Canis lupus familiaris: one gene and its partner. The protein of the gene in region 2 binds, or shares a complex with, the protein of the main gene of each other region. Links are inferred from orthologs where the notes say so. Each region holds a gene or a part of one and is shown on either strand. Other genes may lie near its edges.

Region 1 (7,726 bases), on a different chromosome or scaffold from region 2:
TTGTTTTGGGTTTTTCTTTTTTTTTTTTTTTTTTTTTTTTTGAGAATGGAAATGTTTGCCTTATTTTGGATCTGAGAAAAAAATGATAGATTTAACCATCAAGTTAATGCAGGTGAAATACTGGCCTTAACCTAGATTAAGGGATCCCTGGGTGGCGCAGCGGTTTGGCGCCTGCCTTTGGCCCAGGGCGCGATCCTGGAGACCCAGGATCGAATCCCACATCAGGCTCCCGGTGCATGGAGCCTGCTTCTCCCTCTGCCTGTGTCTCTGCCTCTCTCTCTCTCTCTCTGTGACTATCATAAATAAATAAAAATTAAAAAAAAAAAAATTAAAAAAAAAAAAAAAAAAAACCTAGATTAAGACTGTCAAACAATGAGGACAGGGAGAAATAGAATCAAGGGAGCTGGGATCCCTGAGTGGCTCAGCGGTTTGGTGCCTGGCTTTGGCCCAGGGCGTGATCCTGGGGTCCTGGGATTGAGTCTCACATCGGGCTCCCTGCATGGAGCCTGCTTCTCCCTCTGCCTGCGTCTCTGCCTCTCTCTCTCTCTCTCTCTCTCATGAATAAATAAAAAAATAAAATCTTAAAAAAAAAAAAAAAGACTCAAGGGAGTTGATTGAGCCTTAGGACCCCTCTGGGTGAGAAGAGAATGAGGACAGGCGGGGATTGCATGGGAAAGAAAATGTGGTGGTCCCCACAGAGTCGGGGAAATGCTGGAGTGGATGAACAGAGCTGGAATGGCAGGTGGTGGTGCTCACGGAAAAAGAGTGGCTGTTCTGAAGCAGGACAGAATCTTTGAAGGTGAGGGGTTGATGAAGTGTGAAGGCCCAGGTGTTGGATGAATTTTCTGTGTGCAGACCGAGGGCCACAATGAAAGCAGTGGTGAGAAACTAACTGCAAGGCAGGAGCTGAACTTACAAGGAATGTAGGAAAAGGGGGGCAGGTGGCCCATGAGCTTCCAAGGAGCTGTGCATCTTAGGAAGAAGAAACCAAGATCTGGAAGCAGTGACAAAAAGCAAAGAGGTCACTTCTTGCATCTCCAGGCCCAGAGGGAGTTGGAGGGAAAACCAGTCATTATGTGGTAAGGCCGTAGGGAATGTCACACCTCCTGTGGAGTCTCAAGTCTCCTGGAAGAAGACGAAGGGAAAGGTCTGAGAAGTCTAAGACTGTAGGGGGTTTGTGGATGATAGACTGAGCTTCCAAGACTAGTTTTTTGTTTTTTGTTTTAATCCATATGCACACACTTCATTTGCCAGTGAATTCTCAGAAAGGGTGTAAAAGAAACTGTTAACAGCCTGGGATGATTAGGCAACCCAAGTGGACGAACTCTAAATTCCTACTCTGTCCACCAAGTGGGAGAGAAAGAATGACCTTATCAGGGTCATTATTAAGGGGATTCCCAGAGGGAGTGAGAAGTAGCCAATGGTTACTTACAGGTCCCTCCTACCCTGAGCTTTTATCACTACTTTATTATTTTTGGCAAATCCCTTTCTGCAGCTGGGCCTCAGTTTCCGTACATGTGAAGTGAGGCGTTTGGACTGTCTTCTCTTGGCCTCCTTCTAGCACTGATGGTCTACAACTCTCCCAGAAGCACCTTTGGGTCCACTCCTATAGTGGGGGAATGAGACCAGAGAAGCACAGAGTAGACACAAGTGCCCACAGCACCATTTGAGGGTAGCACACTTGCATGCTCACCAACACAGCCACTGAGCTACACACACAGTCACTCAAACCCTGTGTTCACAGTATTGTGTCAGGAATATCACCTCACACCCACAGGATCCTGTAGCCACTGTCTCCTAAAGTCTCAGGCCCAGAGACGCCCACATAAGACCCCCACATACCTTGAGCAAGTGAGGCAACTGCTGAGTGACCAGTTCCCTAAACTCATGGATGCTGAGGCTGCCCTTCCGGCCCTCCTGCCCTGCAAAGGTGAAGAAGGTGGTGACCACTGTCTCAATGGCGGCCTCCAGCTCCGTCAGGGGCTCCGCTGCCATCAGGACTCTGCAGGACAGGAAAGGAGGGAAAGGCAGAGTCAGAACAGACCCAAGGGAGGGATCCCTGGGTGGCGCAGCGGTTTGGCGCCTGCCTTTGGCCCAGGGCGCGATCCTGGAGACCCGGGATCGAATCCCACGTCGGGCTCCTGGTGCATGGAGCCTGCTTCTCCCTCTTCCTGTGTCTCTGCCTCTCTCTTTCTCTCTCTCACTGTGTGCCTATCATAAATAAATTTAAAAAAAAAAATTAAAAAAAAAAAAAAGAAAAAAAAAAAGAACAGACCCAAGGGCCCCTGCCGGGGCATTGCCACCTCGGCCGGCCTGGGAGAAGAATTACAGGGAAGCAACGGGGAGGGGGCGGGGACAGGGATGGAGATGCGGAGCAGGAAAGGGTGGACGCGGCGGGGGAAGGGAGGTGGCGCTCAGAAACTGGTTCTCCCCAGCTCCTGGGGACCCTCTGCGTGGTCTGAGCGGAGGCCCGGCGGAGTGGCCTCTCCGTAGGCTTCAGTCCCAGGGCTCTTCCTGGGAGGCTCCTCCGGCCCCCGGAGCCCAGGAGGCTGTCTCCTGGCCTGTGTGCGCAGGGACCCCTGCCACCCCGCCCACACCCGGGGTCAGGCCTGGGGACCCCGCCCGGCGGCCTCTTCCCGCCCTCCCCTCCGAGCACTGCCCTCCTGGCTCAGGGACGGCCCCGGGCGCAGCGCGGGGACGCGGGACTTACGGCTGCCGGGCCAGGGGCAGGTGGGCGGTGGGCGCCGGGACCGCAGGGACCGCAGGGACCGCAGGGCGGGAGGCAGCAGAGGCCCGGCCCGGAGGTGTCCTGCCTCCGCCTGGATGCTGGAGGGAGTCTCCGCCCAGGCCCGCCCCGCCCCCGCCTCCCCGGCTCCCCCGCCTCGCCTGCCCCCAGTGGCCCCCCGTGGCCCCTCAGCCTCCGGGTGCGACCTCAGCAGGGGGAGGCGGTAGGGAGCCGCTTGGCCCTCTCCGCTCTGCGGCCTGAAGGACTGAGTGTGCGGTCCGAGAAGCACCGCAGAGAACCCCCCCCCCCCATGCGATCCTGAGAAGGACCTCGCAGCCCAAGACCCCTGAGAGGGGGACCCCGCTGAGACCTCCGCGGAGGAAGATTAGGACTCAAACCTCTGAGGGGGTGTCAGGCCGGGGGCCCCCCAGCCAGACTCCCGAGATGAAGTGATTGACGGAGAGGCCCCCTTCCTGAGAGCCCTCGTTAGGATCAGGATCGTCCCTCTCCTGTCTGCCAGGACCTTTCCCACCTCCCTTCCTCCTGTCCTCCCGGGCCCTGCCTGGGGGACCGTGGGGGAGGGGAAGCCAGTGAGGCTGGACAGGACACAGGGCAACCTGTTCCAGCTCGGGAGACAGAGGGCGCCTCTGTCCACTCTGGGCCCCTTGGCCCCCTGGGTGTCTGTCTGGGAAGGGGTGGAGCCGGTGGGAAGGGGGGGGCAGCGGGAGAAGGCCTGAAGACTAGTCTCCCCACACAGCTCCGTTAACCACATTTGCAGACTGTCCATCTGTCCAGAACCTGCCCCCACCTCAGGTCCAGGCTGACTGACGGTGAGTGTCCTGCACCCTGTGTGCTGGGTCTCTGCTGTGGCCAGCTTAGGGGGAGAGGGGGCTTGGATGGGGCTCCCAAAGTCTGGGGTGGGAAGAAATGGTCTGGGAAGAGTTCCAGGGACAGCAGTTTGGGATTTGGGAGAGACAAGGTGCGGATGGTAGTGCAGGGAAGCCAGTGGAGGTCAGAGGGAGGTGTGCAGTGTTCCTCAGAGAACGAAGAAGCCAGTGGGGAAACCAGACACCAAGCTTCCTTGGAGCCCTCCAAAGTTCCCTCAATCTCCCAGGGGCTGGGGGTGGGGTGGGAAGGGCAGCCCCCACATTGCTTCCAGTTGGGTAAGCAGAAGAAAGCAAATGGAACTGTTGCTTCTGCCCCCACCTGACCGTCCCCTAGCCTTGCCAAGAACTCAGGTCCCAGGGAAGTCTGGGGGTGGCAGAGCGTGGACCACGTGAGATCAAGAGGAGGGGGCATTCAGGTCCTGCACCCACTCCCAACTCTCCTCTCACATGACCTTGCCTTTCCCCTCCTCCTTCTTTGGCCCAGATTTCCAAACTCCTCTTTCCTTCAACTCTTTCCTTTTGTTTTGCTGTGTGCCACCCCCCACCCCCTGCCCAAGTCCTCTCCAAATGCCCCCCACATAAAATCCCAGGCTGCTCAAGTGCCCCTACTGGATGGGGCCAATAATGGGGCCACCGACAGCCAACCTCTTCTCTCCATCAGCCTCAGCTTGGGTTCCATCTCCCCACATCTCTTTGACAACTGTTCCTCGTGTCCAGAGTTCAGGTGACACTCACAAGGCTCCCATTGTAAAGATGGAATGTCATTCGATCAGGGCCCATTGTTCAGCCCTCAGGCCTGGGGGAGGACAAAGACATTTGATCTGAGATACCAGAGCTGTCCCCTGAGGCTGCAGAGGGGATGACCATCCCAAGACCAAAAGAAAGAGACCCAGTGGCATGGCAGTCCCCTTCCTCAACAAAGCCTTCCGTGTCCCTCTTCTCACCAGCCTCTGGAATTCAGAGGACACACTCAGCCTTTCATGTCCCCCAATACATGGCTCGATTCTCCTACAAACTGTCCTCACATCATCCAGGCTGGGCCTAGGTGGGGGAGTGAGCAGCAAGAGGGACCAGGCCCCAGAGGCCTCCTCTCACCTTCACTGGTAGCCCTGGCTCTGGGGAAAGGCTTGGCCATTCCTCTCTCCCTTCCCACCATCACTTGATGTAAGGCCTGATTCTGCAGAGAAGTAGGAGGAACCAAACTAGAGGTAATGGAGGTGCACCCCAGCACAGCTGAAGCGACCTGTTGAGGACAGAGCAGAGTTGAAAGACCAAAAGAGGCCTGTCTGCCAACAGGAAGCTTAGAGGCAGTTAGATCCCCCTCCTGCATGAAGCCTTAGGCCAGCCACTCTGGCTGACTCCATCAGGCTGGCTGAGGGCGTCAGACTGATTCCTTGCTAGGAGCAGACAGCAGAATCAAGGCTGTGGGGAGGAACGAAGCCCACCACCCTCAGCAGCAGAGCTGGGCTGTGCTAGGCAAGCAGAGCAGAGTAAAAATAGAGCCAGAGAAAGCTTGGCAGTGTCCTGTGACCACTCCCGCCTGCCTGCCTCACCCTCCTCAGTGTCCACCTTGGCAGCCAGGAGCCACTGCAGAGGCCACTGGAGCCACTGCAGAGGTCCAGAGCTGCTCCACCTCCACCGCCCAAGCCCTGAGTCCCTCTGGCTGGGATATGGATTGAGGGAGAGAACAAGCCTGGAGGTAGGCCTGCTTGGGTTCCCACATTCTAAAGTCTCAGTGAGAGATAAAGTGCAGTGTGGCTCTGATCTCATGGCGGTTTCAGGTAAGGGACCAGGCCAGGTCTGAGGGCTCCCCTCACCCCAACCTCAGATACCCTGAGCATGGTCCCCTACTTACTTCCATGGTGGGGGGTGGGTAGGTGAGCTACGCAATGGGCTCTGAGCTGGAGACAGCGATGGAGACTCTCATCAATGTGTTCCATGCCCACTCGGGCAAGGAGGGAAACAAGTACAAGCTGAGCAAGAAGGAGCTAAAGGAGCTGCTGCAGACTGAGCTCTCCGGCTTCCTGGACGTGAGCACAGGGCAGGCGTACAGGGTGGTATGGGTGAGGGGAGGAGGAACACCTGGGGACCTCTCTGCCACCTTCCCACCCCACCCCCAACCCACTCCAATCATCTTCTTCCTCTGCCAGACTTCTCTCCTGGATTTTTCTGGGCTCCCATACTTATCTTGTTTCAAGACAAAAATACCCTAATTTGTTCATCTCCTGTTAAGTGCTAGAACCTGTGCAGATGCATCATTAAGAAGGCTCACAGTCTAGGAGGGAAAGACTGACATGAAAGTAAACCATGAACACTGGGAAGTGAACTATTGAGGACAGAGCAGTTGAAGGACCAAAAGAGGCCCCCAGTCTGCTGGCAGGAAACTCGGAAGCAATTAGACCCCCTCCCCATGAAGTCTCCGGCCAGCCACTTAGGAGCTACACAGAGCATTAACAGAATTGCCCGAAAGGATTATGGGACAATAGTAACCTGACTGAACGGGGCTTCTCCAAAGACGGGGCACTTGAGCTGTGGATTTCCTTTGGAATATTATTAGGGTAAATGTAGGCATTTTAGGAGGTATCTGCATAAACAAAAGCATGAAAAAAAAATATGGAGCACGCTCAGTAGTTTTGACCCGAATGAAAGATGCAGAAAAGTAGGCTGCAAATGCTGACAGGGGCTCTATGATACAGAAGCCAGTAGTAAGTGTAGTAAGTGCACCAGCTTCGAGGTTTTATCAGTCCTGGGGTTTCGGTTCTGATCCTGTCACCTTCCAGCTGTGTGAGTTGGGCACATTATTTAACCACCAACTGTTAATTTGTTTATTCCTCTAGCATTTGTGCTAGAATTAACAATTTTACAAGACAATGCTTGTAAAGCTTCGAGTGTACTACTCTTATATAAGCACTCACCATACGGTCATCAATGTTGTTATTACTCTGCCTTGTTAAGGAGCTTATTTGGTGGGTAACAGAAGGCCACAAGTGTTAGTTGTTTTTTGTTGTTTTTTTTTTAAGATTTTATTTATTTATTCATGAGAGACACACAGAGAGAAAGGCAGAGACACAGGCAGAGGGAGAAGCAGGCTCCATGCAGGGAGCCCTACGCGGGACTTGATCCCTGGACTCCAGGATCAGGCCCTGGACTGAAGGCAGCGCTAAACCGCTGAGCCACCTGGGCTGCCCAAGTGTTAAAGAGGATTCAGAACAGTCCCATAATTAGATGTAGTTCTCCCTCCTTCCTCCCAATCACCCACCTCCCTAGCCCAATTCCATACTATCTATCTCCCAATGTACCCACCTCTCCATCTCCTCCCTCCACAGGCCCAGAAGGATGCGGATGCTGTGGACAAGGTGATGAAAGAGCTAGATGAGAATGGAGATGGGGAGGTGGACTTCCAGGAGTATGTGGTGCTGGTGGCTGCCCTCACAGTGGCCTGTAACAACTTCTTCTGGGAAAACAGTTGAGCAGACACCCCCAGTGGCCAGCGTCCTTCCCCATCCCCCTGCTTCCCTCCCTACACTCCTACCCTTGCCCACCCTCCACCAAGGGCGCAAGAGTAGTGGGCCAGGCCTGCAACTCATCTTTCATTAAAGGCTCTTCTCTGGCCAGCTGCTGTCTGTCTCCTTTGGGGTCTGGAAGTGAGTGGGAAAGTCAAGGTTCCTCACTCCCAAGTCACCTTATTTGGTAAAGGATCTTATTGTGAGAGAGGTCAAGGGGACATTACATCTTCCTGGCTGAGGAATGCTCAAGGCCCAGGAAGGTAGGCATTCGAAGTTCCAGCTGCAAATGTAGGAGACTTCAGCTTCTCAGCTACAAAGCCAGAATTCCCCTTCAGTCTGCAGAGAATATTTACTGAGGACCTACCGTGCGCTAGACGTTGTGAAGGAGCGGTGAAGTTCAGTAAGGATGGCAGACCATCACACACGTGCAGGTGCTGGGAGGGAAACAAAAGACCCTGATGCACTTGCGCGCAGAAGAGTCAAAGAAGCGCCTGTGCCTCATTTGCCCAACCCCGGCGTGTTCCTACTGTGCACCCAGGCCCAGGGAAAGTCCCGAGTCGGTGTGCATGGAGGTGCACAGACTGGCGGATGGGGAGGGCATCATCAGG
Region 2 (6,782 bases):
TACCACAATTTTCTTAGATTACACTAAAATTAGGGATAAAATGTTCTAGTATCTTATTAGCTCTACTCTAGTTCATAAGAACATTTTTAATTTTACCTTTTCTGTTGACTTCATTTTTATACTGTGGTATGTGTAAAAACAAAACAATGTTATTTAGTTTTCAAATGTATAATGCTATATCTGATCCACAACTATCAGGGAGCTATTCAAGAAACCGATTAGCTATATTTTGATGTTTCAAGATATGAGAGGATTTCCTGCCTACTGTTACACACATACTTAACAAAAAATCTTAAGTGTGCTGAAGTAGAGTTTGCATTCTTTTCCAGGAAAACTTCCTTAGGTGGTCATTTCTTTAAAAGCTACTGTAGGTTAAGTTAGGCCTGAAGTTTATCTTGTAAATCCACTTATTTGTGTTACCCCTAGCACACCTACTACGTAAATAGGCTCAAGGCGTACGGAGATAGGAGGCCCCTCGAGCCTTAGAGCAGTTGGCAAGCAGCCATTTCTCCCAAAATGCCTTACAAGTATCATCACTTTCTATATCTTTTGTGATGTTAAAAATTTAGAGAACACTACACATACCCATGACTACTTTATAGATTCTTTAAAGAAATAACTTTATATTTTCCTGACTCTACAATGCCTAGAATGGTTCTCTGGAAACAGTGTGATTAATCTTAAATGATTTGACGTTAATTTCTAATACCAATTAGACCTTAAAAGTTTCACTGGTTATTTTAATTTTAATTGAATATTTTGAATATTCTCCAATAGCTGGCACCACTGGTCAATCCTACAATAAAGCTTTTGCATAATACTCAGAATATCAAATGTGAAGATGTCTATACAAAGTCATGCCTTTAAAATTTTTTCAGTTTCAAGGACAAAAATACTAAACTTAGGAATAGCAAGTACATTGCGATGCTGCTTTTAAATATCTAACCTAGGGAAGTGAAAAGAAATGCACATTCTTCTTGGGATGTTTCACAACACACATGCATTACAAAACACCTGTGTTACCTGCAGGCAAAATATGCCTTTATATTTTATACCCACTACCTGGCAAAGGCACAAAATGATTATCAGCATGAAGATCTTTTCAAAGGATCTTGCATCATTCCAAAGCTTTTGGTGTAATTAAGTAAAAAAATTATTTTAACCACAGAAAATGCCACCCAAAAGCAATGGAATGACCTCTAGTCATCTTTAATTAGTTTCCTAAGAATTTCACTTTTCAAGAACATTTTTAATGAACCAGGACTTCCAGAATACCTTTTTATATATGCTTCTGTTCTCATTTTAGTTTCTAAAATCCCAAATGAAGAAAAACCTCATGAGTATCTTTACCATATTATTTACTTAACTCATACAAATGTATTATAAATGTCGAGATGTAGTCTTGAAAAACAGCACTCATGTCAGAATACTTACTTCTACCGTAATTCTTGATTTCAGTACCCCATAGCGACCCCAGGCTTCACAGCTACTTGAACTCCTCTCCTCTCCTACCTCAGCCAGTCACTCCCTTGATCCTAATATCATTAGGAGTAAGTATAACTCCTCAAAATCTCAATTTTTAACACATCACCCTAACCACCACTCATTGCTTTCTAGTACGCTAACTCTAACCTATGTAATCTACTGATTGTGCCACACTTTCTCTGCTCCTCTCCTGGCCTCATTTCTCTCCCTTACCTAAGCTTACGTTCTTAGAGGTTATCGTTGCAACCTTGCCCCGTTCCCATGGTGAGTCAGCCTCTCTTGGCAAAACCACAACCTTGGTTCAACTCCTCTACTCTGTGCCTGCACCGTGCAGCTTTAACGTGCTTAACAGAGCGGACTCCCTTGGTGTCACGTTACATCATCACTAACCTTGAGTTGGACTTCATTTTGCCTGGCTACCAAACCCTGTGACCCAGGTCCATTCATTCCACTGTTTCTTCAGCCCAGAGGACCACTCTACCTCCTGTTTTCAGTATCTAACTGCTACATGGTATTTCCCCTTGAAATCGAAAACTGAGCTCCTGACCAACCCTTCTGCTGACCCTGAATTTCCCCCAATTTCTCAACCCCAAAATGTCTCTGGCATTCTTCATCTCATATTCTGCAACCAAACTTTCAGCAAATCTTTTTTATTTTACCTTTAACACATATCCAGAACTCACCACCTCTATAGACTATAGCTACCACCTCAGACCAGGTCAGCATTTGCTCTCAACTAGATTACTGCAGTAGCCTCCTAACTGTTCCCCTAATTTTACCCTTGCCTCTGTACTTCACCCTTAAATCATCACCTTAAAGACAAATGCATGTATTTTCAAGATCACATTCTAGGGCCATAAAACATCCAAAGTAACTGACCTGTAGGGGATAAAACCCACGATAGTCCAAATGATATGACTGAACAAGCCAATTAAAGATTTACCTAGTGTTCAGTTCAGAATCATGACTTTGGAAAATGCCTATTTAAAAAGGGAAGAGAAAATTAACATTGCTAATTCATTTTCTTCAGAAATCCCAATATGGCAAAACTAAGAGAAAACAATTTAACCAAACTCAAATTTCATATTAAGTTCTCAGTGTTTTCAAAGCCCAAGCCTGATTTTTAAAAAGAAATTAAATGACATGCTTTGAGAAAAGTTTTAAATTCTATACAATTCAAGCTAATGAAATATTTTATTGTACATAATAAAAGTGGTGTTTTTAAAAAAACACTTCCAGGCCCAGACATCTCCAAGAGTATGTGAGGAAGAGATTCCACTGGAGTATAGTAAGCAATACTCGATTGAATGAAACCATAAATCCACCCCACTCTCTATAGTAAATATTAACATTCACCACAGGTTTGAAATTCCTGTAGCATCAGTAAATGTATATTTTAAAATATTACAAACACGCTTATGATGCATAAGATGGAAAAATTTAGACTGTAATGCACACCATATGTACTCCCAGCTTCTCTAATTTACAACCAGTTAAGAATCACAATATCCAAAGAAAGTATTTTAAAATAGTATATGACTCACTGATAAGGGATATTCTACTCAAATAAATAGGAAAATTTCCATTTTAATGTCACATTGAATTTCAGTACTTTTCAATCCAAGAAAAGAAATAAACTGAGACATGGTCATGAGTTCAGGATTATATATATTACAATTTGCCTTGTTATAATACATTTGTGGCTTTATGATAAAAATAACTCAGGGACATATGGAGTTCAAGCTAATTTGCGTAACTGTCACAAGAAAAAAAGCATTAAATGCATTTCTGAAATAAGTATTTCCATTTAATTTCAGAATCTCAAAACAGCATTAGACCTTGGCCTCATTTAAAAAAAGTTTAGTTAAACACTAAGCTAGCTAAATAACCTTCTTCAAAGTTCAAACACAATTGATATAGAAAATGCTTTCCCTCTAATCTCAATCTTACATAAATGGAAGAGGTGAGGGGAAAAGGTAGACAATTTCTTTAGCAGCATATATGGCTAAATCCATCAACCACCTTAAACTAGAATGTCCATTATTAACCCCATTAAAAAGAACTGGGCAAATATCAAAAGTTGCCCACTTCGTAAACCAAAAGACAACAACTTTAGGGTTACGATAAGTAAAATATTTTTGAAACACTTCAAAAACTTTTAACATTAAACTAGAGGAATCATCTCTTAATTATAAGAAAGAAAGGTATAACAGAAAGTAAAAGACATTTAAACTAATTGTCCTCTTTGAACAAAAGAAATGAAAAATAACGGTTGATTAGCTAAGCTTTGTGCTCTAACCAAACTAATTAATTACAGTGATTTTAAATGGCAACAGCCCATCTGACTGGGTAGCTTGACAGTTCTGAATACTTTTTGCAATGATTTTTTTTTTAAACGCAAAAACATTAAAATGATCCGGTCATGCAATGTTCATCTTATGCATTCTGCATCTCTTTGCCAATCTTGTAGCTAAGGATCTTGTTCCAATCAATCTTCGTGCGTGTAACTGGCAACTGTCGACGTAAGGCTTTGAAAGTAGTGTCCGACATTGTCTGATAATTCTCACTGATGGCGGTCTATGAAAAATAGTAGTTAAAAGTTTAAGAAATAAAAGGAACAGATCAATTTATACAACACATAGATGTTTTAGAAAAACCTTTATTTAACCAGCTTATTTCACTGTTTTTAAAAAGTAAAAAAAAAAAAAAAAAAAAAAAAAAAGTCAAAAACCCCAATGTGGTTTTGGAAACTGTTTAAAAAGCAGCTAAAAGGGATGCCTGAGTAGCTCAGAGGTGGAGTATCTGCCATCCACTCAGGGCTTGATCCCGGAGTCCCGGGATCAAGTTCCACATTGGGCTCCCCACGGGGAGCCTCCTTCTCCCTCTGCCTGTGTCTCTCATGAATAAGTTAAAAAAAATCTTAAAAAAAACAAAACAAAACAAAAAAAAAACCAAGCAGCTAAGAGAGGGGCGCCTGGGTGGCTCAGTCAGTTAAGTGTCCAACTCCTATTCTTGGCTCAGGTTTGGATTTCATGGTCATGAGTTCAAGAATCATGTGCTATACTGACTTAGCCAGCCAGAACCTCCTAAAAGAAAAAAGCCTATAATTGTTTTGGATAATTTAATGAAATGAAATTGTAAATTGGATTTAATATTTGTGTGTTCTCATTTTGGATCTATTTTACTATTTCACTCAAAACAATTTTATATATTATTGTTTCCAAGAAGCAGAAATGTGGCGAATCCACAAATTAAATGTGTAAGTTCAAGAGTACGGTTTAAAAGCTGATAAAAAAAATGTAAAAAATAAGAGTATAAAGTGAAATAAGATCTGACCAGATTACACATAATCTAAATACTTTGGGAAATACTTCATAAATTAAAATTTCCAATCAAAAACAAAATAACCATTTAAAATCTTGGCATATTATGACCAATACTCAGATATTACTGTTGGCTAAAACTGAATTTTGGCCACATTTTTATAAGTTTGCCACTGAATTAAAAACAAGTAAACAAAAAAACCCAAAAAAGATTGTTTTATTATAGTGAAATAAATGAAAAAAATTCAGGCTCATAACTGAAATTCAGTGCCATTATTATAACTTCAGTTATAAACTTCAGTATTAAAACTTCAGTGCCATTATTTATAAGCAAATATAAATCATGTACTTTTGAAAAACATACCTGGTATTCATTTTCTGCAGCTTCTACAATCTTTATAAATTCTTTTGCTGTCTGCACCTCATTCTGAATGAAAAACAAAACAAAAAGTAACTATTTACTTTAAAACAACACCACTATTTAAGTTTCCCATTTGAGTATAAATGAGTGTTACTGTAGTTTCAGTTGTACAACAAACATAGTGATTTAACAAGTTTGCACACTATGCTATGCTCACAAGTGTAGCTACCATCTGTCACCATACAATGCTATTATAGTATCATTGACTATATTTCTTACTGTGTCTTTTATTCCCGTGACTTACTCATTCCATAACTAGAAACCTATTTTTCCATGACTCCTCACCATTTTGCCTTTCTCCCACTCCTGCTTCCTGTCAATCATCAGTTTGTTCTCTGTATTTATATCTGCTTTTTGTTTGTTTCCCCCCCTTATTTCACTTAGCATAAGTGAAATACAAATAGCACAATCTCATCCTTTTTATGGCTGTGTAATATTCCATTGTGTGTATGTATATAGAATTATAGATATACAACTGTGTGTATGTCTCCCACATCTTCCTTATCCATTCGTCTACTGGTGGATACTTAGATTGGTTCCATATCTTGTCTATTGAAATAATGTTGCAATAAACATTCCTAGATCTTTTCCAATTCATGTTTTCATCATCTTTGGGTAAATACCCAGCAGTGGAATTACTAAATCATATGGTATTTCTATTTTTAACTTTTTGAGGAACTTCCATACTGTTTTCCACAGTGGCCACCAGCTTGCATTCCCACCAACGCATGAGGGTTCCTTTTCTTCCACATCCTTGCCAACACTAAATATTTCTTCTTGTCTTTTTGATTTTAGCCATTCTGACAGGTGAAAGGTGATATGTCATTGTAGTATTGATTTACATTTCAGTCATGTTGAGTGATGTTGAGCATCTCTTCGTGTGTCTGTTGGCCATCTGTGTGTCTTTAAAAAAATGTCTATTCAGGTCCTCCACCCATTCTTAAAAACTTGTTTTTTGGGTGTTGAGTTGTCTACCTTTTTTTTTTTTTTTTTTTTTATGAGAGACCCAGAGAGAGAGGGAAAGACACAGGCAGAGAAGCAGTCTCCCCTGCAGAGAGTTTGATCCAAGACTCAATCCCAGGACCCTGAGATCACGACCTGACCCAAAGGCAGATGCTCAACCACTGAGCCACCTAGGTGCCAAGTTGTCTAAGTTCTTTATATATTTTGGATATTAACCCCTTATCAAATATATCATTTGCAAATATGTCCTTTCATTCAATAGGTTACCGTTTTTGTTCTGTTGATGGTTTCCTTCACTGTACCAAAACTTTTTATTTGATGTAATCCTAACAGTTTATTTTTGCTTTTTGTTTCCCTTGTCTTAGGAGACACACTTTGAAAAATGTTCCTAATCTCGTGGTCAAAAAAATTACTGCCTGTGTTCTTCTCTCTTCTAGGATTTTTATGGTTTCAGGTTTCACATTTAGGTCTTTAATACATTTTGAGTTTATTTTTGTGTACACCACTATTATTTTAAATAGGCATGTCAATATACGTGTGGTTAATGATTTACTATAATAAATAACACAAATGGAAAGTATGATAAAGAG

Evidence for each region.
Region 1: the proteins of CAPZA2 (region 2) and S100A1 are in contact, whole or in part, in an NMR structure (PDB 2KBM), measured with the Rattus norvegicus proteins. The link is inferred for Canis lupus familiaris from reciprocal best matches to the Homo sapiens genes CAPZA2 and S100A1. Residues at the interface, in NP_001009180.1 of Rattus norvegicus: Thr267, Lys268, Ile269, Asp270, Trp271, Asn272, Lys273, Ile274, Leu275, Ser276; in NP_001007637.1 of Rattus norvegicus: Ser44, Phe45, Leu46, Asp47, Lys50, Asp51, Ala54, Lys57, Ile58, Glu61, Leu78, Ala81, Leu82, Thr83, Ala85, Cys86.

What each region holds. Positions count from the first base shown.
Region 1 is NC_049228.1:43,417,462-43,425,187, reverse strand, and holds S100A1 (protein S100-A1), read left to right. Parts: upstream 1-3,433; 5' UTR 3,434-3,555; intron 3,556-5,489; 5' UTR 5,490-5,501; coding exon 5,502-5,642; intron 5,643-6,915; coding exon of another isoform or gene 6,916-6,923; exon of another isoform or gene 6,924-6,938; coding exon 6,939-7,082; 3' UTR 7,083-7,226; downstream 7,227-7,726. Other genes in the region: S100A13 (protein S100-A13), read right to left, coding at 917-994, 1,516-1,606, 1,843-2,002, 6,916-6,923. UniProt on the Homo sapiens protein: Small calcium binding protein that plays important roles in several biological processes such as Ca(2+) homeostasis, chondrocyte biology and cardiomyocyte regulation.
Region 2 is NC_049235.1:55,949,812-55,956,593, reverse strand, and holds the end of CAPZA2 (F-actin-capping protein subunit alpha-2), read right to left. Parts: intron 5,236-6,782; coding exon 5,173-5,235; intron 4,063-5,172; coding exon 3,922-4,062; 3' UTR 2,561-3,921; downstream 1-2,560. UniProt on the Homo sapiens protein: F-actin-capping proteins bind in a Ca(2+)-independent manner to the fast growing ends of actin filaments (barbed end) thereby blocking the exchange of subunits at these ends.